2 linked regions of the Caenorhabditis elegans genome follow. The protein of the gene in region 1 interacts with the protein of each later gene in a pairwise test. Each region holds a gene or a part of one and is shown on either strand. Other genes may lie near its edges.

Region 1 (8,409 bases):
AGGCTAGAGGAACAAATCCGGTCACATACATCGCAGAACTCTGACACTTCAAAGACAATATCGGATCTTGAAGACAAAATTTCCGAGTTGCTAAAGACCAATGACTTATTGGCTTTGGACGTTCAGAAATTGTCAAAATCCTTAGATTCCAAAGATCAACAGCTGAAGGAAGCAGAGGATGAGAAAAATCTGATGTTAGAAGAGGTTCAAGCTCTACAAAATGCTACTCCATCAGATAGTGTGAGTATTTTTTTTCAGTAGTACAGAAATTATTGAATTCTTGTTTAAATTTTCATATTTTAGGCTGAAATTGCTGAATTAACAACGGAGAATGCTCGTCTTGCCGGCGAGCTTCTGAAATCGCACAGTGCAGCTGAAAGATCATTGCAAATGGAGAAAGAAAAGATTTCTAAGCAATTCGAGGAAAGGCTTAAAACGTTAGTCCAAGATTGATTTATCACTAGAATTTATCAATTTTTATTTTTCAGAGCAAATCTTGAAAAGACACGCCTTGCTTCAGAATTGCAAATGGCCGATTCCAGAAAGAATACCCTAGAGAAGCAAGTGGATGAACTTCAATCTCAAGTAGAAACCGCTGAGAGAAAGTAAGTTACTTTGAAGATTTCTTATTGTACTTTCTTTTAACTCTGTTTTTTGCATGATAACCAGCACGGTTTTGTTTTGTGATATTTCAGCCGTCGTCGTGATCTTCATCAATTGGATATGGTACGAGAAGAATTGCATCAAGTGAAGAACGACAATGAAAAGTGTGTTATTGTAATTGAGTTTTTGATATGTGGTTATGTTCCGTACTAAAATTTTAGTCTAAAATTTGTGACCCTAAAGTTTGACTAATCTACTTTTACTTTGACAACCCACAACTACAAGAACGTAACCGTGTAGGACTGTGTAACCAATATTTCGGCAATTGTCTGTTGCCTTGAGATTTTGGGGCCATGCAACTTCGGCAAATTTGACAACTGCCGATATCAATTTCAACTTAATAAATCCTAAATGCGCGTTCAGAGCACCTGAAAGATGCGAGCATATCTCCTTGAAAAAAACTACATTTTTCTAAAAGACGATCCAAAATAAGATCAACAAAAAATATATGTTTGAAAATTGTCAAAATTTGCCGGTTGCCGCACATTATACCATATCAATTTATATACAACATTGGTCTTTTTTAATTGTTAATAACTTGGTTGTTAATAGCTGATATTTTTTTGATAACCTCAAAACTAACCGAGAAATGAAATTTTAAAGTAGAGAAATTATGTAGATTTGCTTAAAATTTAAATTAATGACCACTTAAGTTTTCGAAATTGATAGGTTTTTCGTGCTCGAAAAGTAGGAATTTTGTTTTGCAATCCTAAGTTAGCCACTTGAAACGTATTTGGAAACATTAAATTTATTCAAAATGCAATGGGGCAGTTTTGTTTCCTAAATGTTCAAAGATCTAAAAAAGAATATTAACCTTTTTTTTTTAACTTTCAGACTAAAATCGTCTACACCAATTGCTCCACCTAGATCCAATACAAGAACAATTTCCAATATGTCAGCTATGACCAACTGGACACAAGCTGATTTCAGCGAATGTGAAGATTTGACAAGGCTACGGACGGAAATTGACAAGTAGGCGTAACGATTGGCTTTTAATATCAAATATCTTCGAATTTCAGACAAAAACGGCTGATAATAGTTCTTCGACGCAAGCTTCAAGGACTTCAGCAGTAAAATTCTTTTTATTTCTCATTTTTTAAATTAATGTTATAGAGATTTTTTTTTTCATTATAATTATTGTGATTCTTTTCGGGTTGTTCTTTTCTATTTTCTGTGATTTTTTTTCTTATTCCTAGTGCTTCTTTTATATTACTTATCAATTCCTTTACCATTCACAAAGTGCCTTACCAAAAATTCACATCAATGCTCATTTTGTTGTTCCAATGGTTCTCTGAAAAATCTGAACCATCCTGAATTATAGCGACATTTCTTTTCTTTTCTGTGGGTCTTGCCTTCTTGTTTTACCAGTCTCCAGTTTTATTAAAGATTTTATTTTAAAATTTTGCAACTGGGGGTGCAAACAGAAACTTTGAAAAGTGCATTATCAACTTCTGATAGTGAGCCAACTCTTTCCAAATAGAAGGACAATTTTTGAGCAAAATTCTTTGGGCCTTAAAAATGAAAATGCCAAGGGAAACAACATCAGACGATGAAAAAGACTATGCAATTTATATTGTGCAACAGAGAAAGACTAACAGTTTTTATTGTGAGAACATTACAATAATCGCTACAAAGTTCATGGCTTGACGTGTGCCTTTAGGATTTATAGTATTTGTATTAGGTTGGTCGAAAAGTCTTTGCAAAATTTGTACTTTTCTTCATTTCTCAGCGTTAATTCATTTTTTTTCTGATTCTGTTTTTTTATTTGCATAGTACGTAATGTGCATGTTTAATATATTTAAAAAAAACTTTTGGGTGCTGTTCAAAATGACCGAGAATTTGCTCGCCGAACGTCACGCCCTCCGATGGGTTTTTCTGTACGAGTTCCCCCAAATCTGCAATTGCAACGAAACTCGTCGTAACATGTGTGCAGTGTTAGGCAAGAACTCTGTCACCTATAATACCATGAAGTTTTGGTTCGAAAAGTTCACGAAAAAGAACTACGATCTCGATGATAAACCAAGATAAGATCGCTCTCGTTTGAATATCGACGAGGATATTTCGAGAGCCCTGGAAGATGATCCAAGAGCAACGAACCGCGAACTTTCTGCGACTCTCAAGCATCCCCAAAAAACCATCATCAACCATCTCCACGAAACCGGAAGGGTAGAAAAGTTCGGTCAACTCGTTCCTCACAATTTGCCCGATTCTCAGAAAAATTGTTTTGTGACCTCTCTCTTTCGCTGCTCACTAGGAAACGAACAACGGACTGGGTTAAGGATATCATTACTGGAAATGATAAATGGGTATTGTATGTTAGCCATACCAGGAAAAAAGAGTGGGTCCCGGTCGAGGAAACCGCGACACCTGACCTCAAATTAGAACTTCACGGAAAAAGTGCTTCTCTCAATTGGGCGGGACAGTAAGGGTGTCATTTCCAGAGAGCTTCTTCCAGACTTTGCTACAATCAACGCTGGCCTATACAGCATTTAATTGGAAAAGATGGTCCATGCTCATCGATTACATCGCCCTAGAGGATCAAAGTTGTTGCTGCTCCATGACAACGCAAGACCGCATACAACTTTTAAGACCCGCCAGAAGCTCCAGACAGTCGGAATCCAAATTTTGTCTTACCCATCGTATTCGCCGGGCTTGGCTCCTACTGACTACCATCTGTTCCGCTCACTCCAGAATCACCTTGCCGGGCAGAAGTTTCATGATCGAAAGGTCGTCGAAACGGGGTTGGACGACTTCTTTGCCTCCTAATCGCAGGAGTTCTAGGCGGAGGGTACTGTTCAACTTCCGTTGTGTTGGCAAGAAGTCATAGGCATTAATGGTAAATATATTACCCATTGAATCTTGTTCGCTTTGAAAAAATACTACTTCCAAAAAAAATCAAAATTTTGCAAAGACTTTTCGACCAACCTAATATATGTAAGTTCATCTTTTGATAATTGCCCTCGGCGAAAATTTTCGAAAATTGTCTGCCAAATGCTCGGTTTCCTATCATATTGCGCAATTTTACGTAACTTTTACAAGTACATATAAAAGATTTGCAAGCCATCTATCCGTCAATACGCAGCAGCAGCATTTCCTTGATCTTTTGGGCTTTTGAGCTTTAAGTGCTCTTTGAGTTTTTTTTTAAATTGAAAGCTTTGAATAGAGAAAAGAAAACTTTATGAGAAAAAAATTAGAGCCAATAAAAAAAATAAAAAATTCCTGCCTGTGTGCCTACCAGGCAACCGCAGTAAAAAAGGCGGAGGCCACCTTTACGGCATGTTACGCCTGCCTTAATGGCACAAAGACAGAGAGTTTTGTAACTGCAAAAAGTTATTTATTTGAATAAATTCTTTTTGGTCAACTCTATTTTTTTACAGTAACTTGAATATTTCAGAGATGTCAAAATATTTGACATGGATCTATTAAAAATGATGACTTTTGCAAATATATAGTCATCATAATACCATCAACTTTCACAGTTCACATATTTCTTATCAATTGGAATGGTTAGTACGTACAACTGATAATAATAGTTTCGTTTGCATATACATAATTTCCAATTCTTCTTTTCGGTTTATTTTTGATACTTGTTAAATGATTACTATAACTTTTAAAATAAAAAATTAAACTCTGAAATTCATTTTAATTTCAGCTTTAAAAATGTTGTTACGGATACTCACATTTCTTGCTGTTTGCCAAGTGACTACCTCTCACAAAATCCTGATGTTCTCGCCAACTGCAAGCAAGTCACATATGATCTCACAGGGAAGAATCGCAGATGAGTTGGCGAATGCTGGACACGAGGTTGTGAATTTCGAGCCAGATTTTTTGAATTTAACAGACAAATTTGTGCCATGCAAAAAGTGTAGAAGATGGCCAGTTACTGGATTGAATAACTATAAGTTCAAGAAAATTCAAAATGGTGAGTATTTAAAAATTGATTTTTCACTGATGTTTCTCGAATTACCCAGTAACTTCAAGAAGAGCAAAACTAATTTTTTGTTGAATTTTGTGCCGCCTTAAAAGTTTCGGTAAATCATTTGACAAGTTTCACACAAAAATTCAGTCTTTTGGAATATTTTGAGTGATAAAACGCTAAATAATCTGTACTTATTAGGTACTAAAAATTTATTTTCAGGGTTATCTGGAGACGTATTCCAACAATCTTCAATTTGGAGCAAAATTTTCAATACGGATAGTGATCCATATCAGGATGAATACACAAATATGTGCGAAGGTATGCTCTAAACTGAATTCAAATTTTACTGTATTTTCCGGTTCAGAAATGGTAACGAACAAAGAACTTATCGAAAAACTGAAAAAAGAAAAGTTCGATGCATATTTCGGTGAGCAGATTCATTTGTGTGGAATGGGGTTGGCTCATCTTATAGGCATCAAGCACAGGTTTTGGATTGCCAGGTATTGGTTTTGGTTTTTTAAACTAAAAAGAACATTAAGATTTTCAGTTGCACAATGAGCGTTAGTATGCGTGATAGTCTCGGAATTCCAACGCCGTCCAGCTTGATACCCTTCATGTCAACATTGGACGCTACCCCGGCTCCATTCTGGCAAAGAGCCAAGAACTTTGTGCTCCAAATGGCACATATTAGAGACGAATATAGGGATGTTGTACTGACAAACGATATGTTTAAAAAGAACTTTGGGTAAGAATTTGGGAGATAATTACGTTTAATTAAATAATTTCTACAGATCTGACTTCCCATGTGTCGAATTCTTGGCAAAAACTTCTGATCTTATATTTGTTTCAACAGATGAACTTTTGGAAATTCAAGCTCCCACTCTTTCGAATGTTGTACACATCGGAGGGCTTGGCTTGTCAAGTGAAGGAGGTGGCTTGGACGAGGTTAGTAGAATCTTTCAAACTTTCTTAAAGGCTTCATATATTCAGAAATTTGTGAAAATTATGGAAAAAGGAAAAGGAGTGATTTTATTCTCATTGGGGACAATTGCCAACACTACTAATCTACCACCAACTATCATGGAAAACTTAATGAAGATCACTCAAAAATTCAAAGATTATGAGTTCATAATTAAAGTTGACAAGTTTGATAGAGTAAGAAAATTCCTATAAATCCAAGAAAACTCCCATTTACTCATTTTCAGAGAAGTTTTGATCTTGCTGAGGGACTCTCAAATGTCCTCGTCGTGGATTGGGTTCCCCAAACCGCAGTTCTTGCTCATCCAAGACTGAAAGCATTCATCACACATGCTGGTTACAACAGTTTGATGGAATCTGCCTATGCAGGTGTTCCAGTTATTCTTATTCCATTTATGTTTGATCAACCAAGAAATGGACGGTCTGTCGAGAGAAAAGGATGGGGAATTCTGAGAGATAGGTTCCAGTTGATTAAAGATCCAGATGCGATTGAGGGAGCTATCAAGGAGATTCTCGTTAATCCAACGTTAGTTTTGAACACTTTTTTGAGCACGTCTAAAATTTGTGCTTTACGCTAAAATACTAGAAAAATCGTGCTGATAATTGCTGATAGTTGCGGTAGATTAAATTAATTCTAGTTCCGCCTAGGTGTGTGCGGCAAATTTGCCAAAATTGCCGAATTCACCTAGCTCGCCTAAATTTGAGAATTGCCGCACACCCCTGGTTCCGCCGAAGCTAGTTTTTTGAAGGCCATTTTTGAGGACCATATTTAAAAGAACGTGTATTTCATCCATTTTTTCTAGAAACTTCAAAAATAAAACAATCACCTCTAATTTCATTTTCAGATACCAAGAAAAAGCAAACCGTCTGAAAAAGTTGATGCGTAGCAAGCCTCAATCGGCATCTGAAAGACTGGTTAAAATGACAAATTGGGTGCTGGAAAACGACGGTGTAGAAGAATTGCAATACGAGGGAAAACATATGGACTTTTTCACATTTTACAATCTTGATATCATTATTACTGCAGCTTCGATCCCAGTTTTAATTTTTATTGTTCTTCGAATTTCAAACATTAGTATTATTACGAGTAGCCCAAAAAATAAGAAAGATTAGGTAAATTATTGTTAATTAATAAATGGTAAAAAAAATAAAACAACTTTAAACATCATTTCGAAAAGTTCAAAAGGCATTTTTGAAGGGATCCGAATTCCGAAATCAAGTTTTGTGGAGTGTCCGTTGTGAGAATTACACCATTCTCAATTACAACGACTCTGAAAATAAAGTTTCTTCTGGAGCATATCTAGTTATTGTTTAAAAAATTATGAAGTTTCTAGTTTTCTCAAAAAAAATATTTGATTAAAGATACTCAAAATGGTCTAAAGTGCTGAATTACAATAAAATAAAAATTTAAAAATAGTGAAAGAAAAGATATTCTAGGGTGCGCGGCAATCGGAAATTTCCGGCAATCAGCAATTTCAGCAATTGCAGGTTTTGGAAATTTCCGGCAATCCGAAATTTCAGCAATTGCCGGCTTTGGAAATTTCCGGCCATCGACAATTTCGGCAATTGCCGGTTTTGGAAATTTTTGGCAATTGCCGAAACTGCCGAAATTGCCGAAAATTCGAATGCCGCACGGCAATTGCCGTGCACCCCTGAAACTAGTTGCTGATTGGTTTTGCAGTTCTCGTTTGGAGGGAATTCAAATATGAAAATAAGAAAGAGTTGAAAATGATAATCTTTAATTTCAGAACCCCTCCTTCAAATAATTATATAATGCCTAGTCGTTAAAAGAAACTCTGGTACTTACCTATCACAATGTTCAACATCGGAAAAGTCTTCACCAATCCAAATTGTAGTACTTTGTTTCAAACTATTTCTTATTGCCTCATTCACCAAAGACTTGATTGGTTCTTTCATCATCTTCGTCGATTGATCAATCACAAAGATCTGACCACCTTTTAGAAGTGCTCGGCAAACATTCACCTGACATTTCTGCTCATTACTCATTTTTTCAGGAGACACCATTTGATGCAAACCATCCGGTAGACTTTTCACATATTCTCTGAGTTGACATGCCTCAATTGCCAACCAAATATCACTATCAGCAAACTGGCAACATGGGTCAATGTTGCTACGGAGAGTGTCCGAGAATATTTTTGCTTTCTGGTAACAAATTCAATTATAACCACCAGTTTTTGTAATTTCTCACCTGTGGTATAACTGTGATCCTTGATCTCAAAGTTTTTACACTCATCTCGAAAATGTCCAAATCATCTACAACGATATGGCTCTCTTTGTCTGCTGAGCTCATCATGACCAATGTCTTTGCCAGTTGAGATTTTCCCGATCCAACTTTACCGATAATTCCCAGTTTCTCTCGTTCTTCTATTACCAAGGAGACATCTTTAATGACGTGTCTGTACTTGTTGGCGAATACATTCAAGCTGGAAATATTTGAATTGATATGAAAATTGAGGGAAATAAAAGGTAAGCAAACTTTTTGATTTCAATTTTTCCGTCGTCCGGCCAAGAGTCTCGGATGGTGCATTTATCAATCATGGGCTCTTTTGGATATTCTCTCACATTGCTGATACGTTGAACGTGTGGAGTTAGAGATTCAAGGATGCACGTGGTTCGGATGAATGTTGAAACAAGTTCGCTAATCTGAATTTTTTTGGAACTTTTGAGTTTCTTCTTTTCTGATTCTGGTTGGCTACTCTAAATTTACTAAAAATAAAAACCCCTTACACATAGAATTGATGCAACTGAAAGAGCGAATTGTGCATTTCCAATGTAATCCACTTTCAAACAAATTGATGCGATGAAGAAACACATACAAATCTGTAATT
Region 2 (7,630 bases), on another chromosome or scaffold:
AGAAGTGATGAACTTGTCATCTGATCAGGAACCAACTATAAATTCATCTGGTCAACCATCAAATAAATGGACTCTTTCAATGGATGACCCCAATTGGCAACGGTTTCTTCCAAATCTTCTTCCATTATCCTATAACTTACTTCTGAATTCTTGTAAGCAATCGGAATCCTTCCATCAGTTTGTGGATCATCTAGCTGTAGTGGCAACAAAAGTGAGTTCGTTGAAACTTAATCAGCTTAGGTTTTACTGATTTAGCAAAATGTATAATTTTGTATTTCCAGGTGCCCCGAACCATTGCAACTGCAAATCGTCGTTGCGTGTGCCAACTTCCCTCTCTTCTCGGCTTCACTTCGAAAAGTCTTGATAACTTTCAAGGACCTCCAAAAATTTTGGGTTTCTACAAAAAACAGCCGGGTGAAGCTGCTCTTCCAGGCCTTACAAAGCACCGGACACCTATTGAAATGGCATTTTGTACAATTCATGATGATGCAAAGTCTCTTCATAGTCATTTAGCATGCCAGGGAACTGCCAATTTGGTGGTTGATGTGAGTGAAGAGAATTTCAAATTTTTAATTTTTTTTGAAACAGTAAGTCCTAAGTAGTAAGGCAAGAGAGAAGGCAGATAGGAAAAAAAAGTTTTTTTACTAGTTATAAAATTAATTATTCTTAAAATCATAGAACATTTCAGGCTTGCACGCACATTTGGAATGGAACGGAAGTTATTCCAATGTCAAAAAGATTGAAATCTTCGGTAAAAGATTTTTATTTGAGACATTCAATGACTGGGCATTGCCTAGCTGTTTCATACCGTCCATGTTTCTCAAAGTTAGCAACTTCATTGGCTGGAAAGTATGTAGAAGTTCCATTGAATCAAGAACACTCGAAAATTGAAACAGCACTGCCAAGAAGTCACAGTAACGGTAATTTTTGAAAACTACAAAAATGTCCTAGTTATGAGAAAAATCAATTTTTCTTGTGTTTGGTCAATTATCTGTTGTTAGATACTTTTCGAATTTAAATTAATATTGCCGCTTCAAAAATGCAATTCCTAAATCTGTGTATTAAATATTGGATCCGTCTAAATTTTGGCATGAAGTAGAGGCTCCGCCCATATCTTGGCTTCAAACACATAATCTACGAGACTTCTTCAGAATCGTTCGACGAAATTGACTACACAAAAACCGTTCGTACCGCTGACTCTGCAATCGATCAATATTTCACGGGTCAAATTCTGTGTGGACTCGTTGTTCTGCACTATGAACCAATTCCACAATCTGTTTCAATTATTGAGAAACTGGATCAAATATGTGTTCGCCCTGTTTATTTTTCAAAAGAAAACGAGCTGCGGAGTAGAGTTTTTGCGGAGAAACTTGGAATTGAAGCCGGATGGAATTGTCATATTTCGTTAGCCGAAGAGGAATCGGCGCCTGTAAGGAAGGCTGGTGTGGCTCATGAACAATTTTTGGCGCAGAAACCAAGTAGATCAAAGTTTTGGAGACGAATCGCATTGTAAGTTAATTCCAAAATAAACTAGTGAGCAAATCTAAAAGCGTCGAAGCCAGAGAACTTGAGTGTATCCAAAATATTTTGAACTTCAGAAGTGAATCTAACTTGGAAAGTCTGGACTGCGAATCTCTCGCCCGTGGATCTCCATCCCTTCGGAAAATGAGCGTGGTTTCTGCGAAAATGGCTCCAATCCCAAATATTGCACGACTCCCGACGGGTGTTCAGAATGTTCGGCCGCATTTGGATGAAGTAGATAATGTTCCACTTCTCGTTGGATTATTCACAGATTCAAACACTTCTGCGGTCGAGGAAATGATTGAGATTATGCAGGTATTGATGAGTTTTGGATTTCCTAGATAATCAGGGTTTCAGGAAAATGGAGAAGTTGTGATGGTAGTGGGAAGTTGTCGGAATGCGAGTAATTCAATGATCTACTCAAAAGCTAATATTTCCGTGTGTGTGGATGATGTAGAAGAACCCGCATGCCGGCTATTGGATCATCCAGTTGAATCTGTGAACAATAATGTTATGCAGATTTCAAGTAGGCTTACTGCGTTAGCCACGGATTTTCGATTGGATCATGTAAAGGTATTTTTCATTCTAGTTCATTTTTTAAACAGAATGTAGTTATCGTAGCTAAATTCAGTGGGAAAATGGTTTTTTTTTAAATTTTAATACTTAAAGTTTTAAATTTTAACCATGGTTTTTTAGATTCATGTTCAAATACTGTTCGAACAGGAAAAAATGCGCTAAATTTCTCAAATAGCCAAAAAAACATTTTCAAAATTTTTTCATGATGCTAAAACTCTGACTGAAAACATTAGAAAGTCTAAAAATTGTTAAAGATATTCAATTTCAAAAACTTCCCTTGCGCTACTCCTCTTTTAAAACAAAATTCTAACACTCTACAAAAATATTTTTTTTCTAAATTACAGCTTCTAAAAATGTCATCACTGATAGTATGTGCTCGTCATCGAATGTCATCATTCCGTCATTCTCTTCTATTTATTCTATATGCTTCACTTTTATATTCAGTGACAATTCTCATGTCAACATTCTTCTTTCTACCAATTATTTTCACACATTCTCAAACTATTTTGACCTCATTTCTACATATTCCTGTATTGTTTTTGGGCACTTTATTCACAAGTTTTGAGCCAAAATCAAAGATAATAAGGATCGCACCAAAGGTTAGTTATTTTAAAATTGAAAAAAAGTGGTTCAGGATTGACATAAAACTTACATTTTGTATGAGCTGTAAACTGTAAGAGTAAAATTATATTGAAGTTTATGAGTTAAAGCATTTTGAGAAAACCCAAAAACTTTGTGTTCTTTGCAATTTCCAATTAAAATCCAAATATTCCAGAACTCATCTGAAATTCCAAAAGTAGAAAAGCTGAAAACAGTGAGTCAGTTCATTTGGCAATTTGTTCCATCTGCTGTATACATCAACATTCTATTTCTCATCCTTTTAATGGCAAACTCCAATCTCATGTGCTCATTTTCCGATATTTCGTGCTTATTCAATACGGACGGATCTGCAGGTTCACAGCCACTTTTGGAATTTAATGAGACAAGATTGGGACAAGTTAGTCTATCAACTGAGACAATAAGGCATATCATTGGATTACAGGTACGTTGAAAGAATTATCAAGAAATAATTTCGACTGAAAGACTTTCAGATAACTGTTATCTATTGTGTCTTGTCATCAAGTTTTGTCTACGGGCTATCTTCTCTATGGTACGAATTTCCAATTAAGTGTCTTCTTTGGGATGCAGCTGTCATTGTGTGTCTTATCACCCAGGTATGATTGAAGCGTTGAGAACTAATACTTGAATTGATTTTCAAACGTAGAAATTCGTTTTTTGCACACTTTTTGAGTTTTTCCCCTAGAAACCTCTATACTCTTCAATTTCCAGATTGGCTATTCATATCTTCGAGGTGTTCATCTTTCCGACCTCTTTTCCCTTCTTCCATTGGGAATTTTATTCATATGGATATGTATTATTGTAATCGTCAATGAGTTGATCAAAATCCGTCGGATACGTCAATTCACTCGTGAACAAAGAAGAACCAAATTCGAATTTGATACAAAACTCGGAATGAACTCACCATATTAATCACTTGCTCAAGAAAGTTTTGCACACGGGTCGTTGTATAGAATAGCGTGTAGATACTACATATTTTTTTGAAAACATATGTTTAAAATTCAAAATAAATTATTTAACATTGACTGTTTATGTCTCAAATTGAAATACCATCACAATTAATGTCAATGAAAAAAATGTGAAGTAAAGTTTTTGGAAAATTTATTTGAAACCTGAATTATTTTAGGAATTTCAGGTACCACTGTTCAAATTTCGTCTATCTAGACCAATAACCATTCAAAATAGATGATTCACACTTGCCTGTTGATCATGAAAACAAGTTGTGTTTCGAATCGTTGTTCAATATCCGTGTCTCTATTTCTCTCTTGATCAATTATCTCTTCTTCCTTTTCTCTTTTCACTTAATAACAACAGTTGTTAGGTTGGCTCAGTTGAAGAAAGCAACTCACATTTGTGTACCTGACATTAACTATCGATTTAATTTTTTTCAATTTGAAGAGATTAAGAAATGCTGAAACTTCTAATAACTGTCGGTTTGGCAGTTGGGACCGTTTATTCGCTGACTTGTTATAATGTGAGTTTCCGAAATTTTCAGAACATCTGAAAGTTGAGAACTCAGAAGATTAGGTTTAAATTTGTGAAAAAATATTGATTGCAGGGAAGTAAAACGTTGGCGTTTCAAAGTGTAGGTGAGACAACAGAGGAGTGCCCCGAGTCATCATATTGCTATAATATGTCAACTTCTGCAATGGTTATGGTCAATTTTGTGAAGGCTGGATGTTCGAGATGGAGGTGTATGGTTAGTCTAAAATTCATGATTTCTAAACTTAAACTTGGGTTAGGGATGTATTTCTTGGCACTCACTTATTTCCCAAAATAGTTTTTTTCTAAATCTACAATCAGGTTGCCATTTCAGCTAGCAAAAGACACATGTATCTTCACAACCTTCCAAATGGTTCCAGTCAGTTTGTGCTGTTGTAGTTATGATCGATGCAATGTTGGTGGAAACCCTGTATATTCTGACAAGTTAGTTTCCATTTTTTAAACTCTAACTGTTCACTTGGAAAAATTAAAATTTCTATTCAAAATGTTTTTATAGGAACTTGTTTGGTTGTTAACTACATATACCGTATATTTTTTATTAGTAATGTCTATTACTGTAACCTTTTTTCGAGAACAATTTATATTTGAAACAATTTAATGGAATTCTTCCTGCACTGCTCGATGGTTCCACAATAAATTACTCTAAAAACTTTTTTAATTAAAAGTTTTTTTCTGTTAAATTATTTCACAGTGTTCATAAATTTGTACTCAAAATATGAGCCTTTGTAAATGAATAATAATGTTCTCAATTTCAAAATAAGCTCTCAATAATTAGTACTGCAGAACATTTTCTAACAACTATGATTCTTTACTTCTAAGTGCACAACGGTCATTTTTTGTTTGAAAAAAGTTATTTTTGTCAAAAATAATTTAATTACTAGCAATTTTTAATTTTTCCAGCCCGAAACAAATCCAAAATGGTGGTGGAAACAGTGGCAACTGGAACAGCGGAGGAAACAATAATGGAGCAAGCGGAGGATCGTGGGGAAATGGGAATGCTAATAATAATAATAATAATAATAATGGTGGATCGAATAACAATGGATGGGGAAATAATAAGTAAGCCTGTTTTTACAGGTGATATTGTTTAAAAAAGTGTATCTGGGTTTTGTAGAATTCCCTAATTTTTAAACCATTTTTTTAACCGTTTTCAGATGGCTTCCAAGTTTGAAATAACTTTTTAAAAAACTTATTCACTCGTATATTTACTGCAGAAATAGTGGCGCTTCATTTTAACTAAATTGTTTTTTTTTCAGTGACTGGAGCAGCAACTACAACTATGGAGGCTCAAATGCAGCCAACGAGCCAAAAATGTAAGAAATCTTTAACTTCAAACATTTCAAGAATTTAAATATTTTCAATTAAAAGTGTTTAATTAACCTTTTAAAGGACAAAACAAACAGTTGCTGGAGATGATTCATGGAACAAAAACAAATGGACAAACAAACAAGTCGAGGATATGTTCAAAAAATCCATTGATGATCGTGGGGACGAGATCCAACTGGAAGATGATTTCAAGAAAATCGATAAAAATTACAAGACACAATCAGTTCCTCAGGAGTCATTGAGAACACTTTCCGCGCGGAAGGAAGTCGAGAAAATTCCATTTGTAGCTGGAAAAAGCTCAGGAGTTGGAGCAAAGACCACAGCCAGTCCTACTACTGGAAAGTCCAAAGAAATTCAATTGTAAAATTTAATGTTTTTATATTTAACAAGTTTATAAATAATAAAGTTTGAAAACCAAAGAAAAAAGACTATAAAAATTGTTTTAAAAACCTTAAAAATTATTTGGCATTCGAACTTTTTTTTTTTTACAGATTTTTTTACTCCATTTTCAAGCCAAGTTGCCAGAAAAGGTTGCAGTCGCAGTTGAGTAAAATCCACCTCCCATCCAATAAATCCGATTTCCGTTCAAAACCTGTTGATGCTTCTTCTTTGAGTTCCTCTTTTATGACTTTTTGTGTTCCGATTCACGTTTCTGTGAAGTAGTCCACGTAATCCGTGTTCCGTATGTGCCACAACCATCTGACCAATGACAATACAAAATGTGTTGTGTGTACAAGAGAGAATGAGGGAGCAAGAACACATAAAAAACAACAACAATAATGCTGCTCTCTCACTTTCTGTATTTCAATTGAATCAAAAATGTCCGTGCTCATTTATTTGCTCTCTGGGTTGTCCGCAGAGCCTGCTGCTGCTCATTGAGCTAACCAGTTCAGTGGTCTCCAATTCACGGATACATATAAATACAGATTGATGTATGCAATTCACGTATTTCCCGCGTGTTTCAATCAAACTATATATGTTAGCTTTACTCATTTTATTACTGGCAGGTAATTTTTAAACGTTTGATCCTTTAAAGGGGTACGGTAAGAAGAAACTACAAATTTACATATTACTTATAATCTAACACTGTAGGAGCTTGCGAAATTGTTCCAGATTTTTAGAAAAAGTACAACTTTTGCAAAAATTTAACAGAACAATTTTGGGAAAAAAAAAGAAATGTTAGTGTTTTTTCTATTTTGTGTTTTTATATATTTTAAGTCCATATTAGTATATTTTGACCTGATTAGCCTTCAGGCCTATGTGCCTATTTTTTTTTTCTTGCCTGCTCATTGCCAATTTTGTTTTGGTATGCACAGCGTTTGCATATCATTTCTAATATTTTAGATTTTATGAAAGGAAAAAACAATGATTTTTTTCACAAAAAAAATATATGCCGAAAACGAGATTGGCGCTAATATTCAGAGAATTAAACTATGGAAATTCAATTCATTTTAAGTTTTGAAGCAATTCTCCATATTTAAAAAGTTGTAAAATTATCTAAAAAAAGCCAGTTCTCGAGATTTTTTTGGAATAAGAAAGTAGTTTGAACAGAACAATTGAGGGATGAAAACACCATTTTTCGCTAATTTGTGTTTCAATTTCCAGCACAGCAAATCACACCACAGTGCCAACAATGTGGAAATCGGCGAATAGTGCAACAATATAGGTCATATCCGCAGAAAAAGTTCAACTTTAATTTTGAACAATTTTTCAGCAGATTCCCCGGATTTACGTGAGTTCTCTGTATTTTGGAAATTTTTGAAAAAATTCTCTGAATCCAAAAATTCAAAAAAAAAGTAAAAACTTTAAAAACTCATAATCTTTTTCTATTCCAGATCTCCTCAACGTCAGCCACCCTCCCAACCTCGTGTATTTAATAGTTATGGTCAAGAAGCCGAAACATTTGGCTCAGCGATCGGAAAATCAATCGGGAGGAGAATTCAACAGGTTTGTGTCAATATTGAAAGCAAAAAATTTCAAGGAAATTTGAAACTTTTCCGCGTGGATTGATCGGAGGAACAATAGAATAAAATGATTGAGACTATGCAAATAATATGGGATTTTTGAAAAAAAAAAGAAACTATTG

What was found. The genes of interacting proteins can lie anywhere in the genome.
Region 2: the proteins of ugt-48 (region 1) and pqn-24 interact in a two-hybrid assay, tested with the Caenorhabditis elegans proteins (one large-scale study listed by BioGRID).

What each region holds. Positions count from the first base shown.
Region 1 is NC_003283.11:5,543,969-5,552,377, reverse strand, and holds ugt-48 (Putative UDP-glucuronosyltransferase ugt-48), read left to right. Parts: upstream 1-4,315; 5' UTR 4,316-4,323; coding exon 4,324-4,585; intron 4,586-4,801; coding exon 4,802-4,900; intron 4,901-4,946; coding exon 4,947-5,082; intron 5,083-5,129; coding exon 5,130-5,327; intron 5,328-5,373; coding exon 5,374-5,527; intron 5,528-5,572; coding exon 5,573-5,737; intron 5,738-5,787; coding exon 5,788-6,086; intron 6,087-6,405; coding exon 6,406-6,673; 3' UTR 6,674-6,709; downstream 6,710-8,409. Other genes in the region: C18C4.7 (Golgin-84), read left to right, coding at 1-240, 304-437, 489-605, 696-767, 1,498-1,635, 1,683-1,737; cft-1 (Cystic Fibrosis Transmembrane conductance regulator homolog), read right to left, coding at 6,726-6,831, 7,368-7,723, 7,770-8,004, 8,058-8,224, 8,309-8,401.
Region 2 is NC_003279.8:4,560,017-4,567,646, forward strand, and holds pqn-24 (Prion-like-(Q/N-rich)-domain-bearing protein), read left to right. Parts: upstream 1-4,018; 5' UTR 4,019-4,123; coding exon 4,124-4,189; intron 4,190-4,273; coding exon 4,274-4,414; intron 4,415-4,531; coding exon 4,532-4,641; intron 4,642-5,118; coding exon 5,119-5,277; intron 5,278-5,474; coding exon 5,475-5,531; intron 5,532-5,607; coding exon 5,608-5,908; 3' UTR 5,909-5,966; downstream 5,967-7,630. Other genes in the region: D1007.15 (Cation-transporting P-type ATPase C-terminal domain-containing protein), read left to right, coding at 1-211, 282-545, 689-920, 1,152-1,509, 1,599-1,836, 1,879-2,094, 2,442-2,696, 2,873-3,139 and 2 more; idpp-10 (Intrinsically Disordered Protein, expressed in Pharynx), read left to right, coding at 6,479-6,551, 7,150-7,276, 7,380-7,491.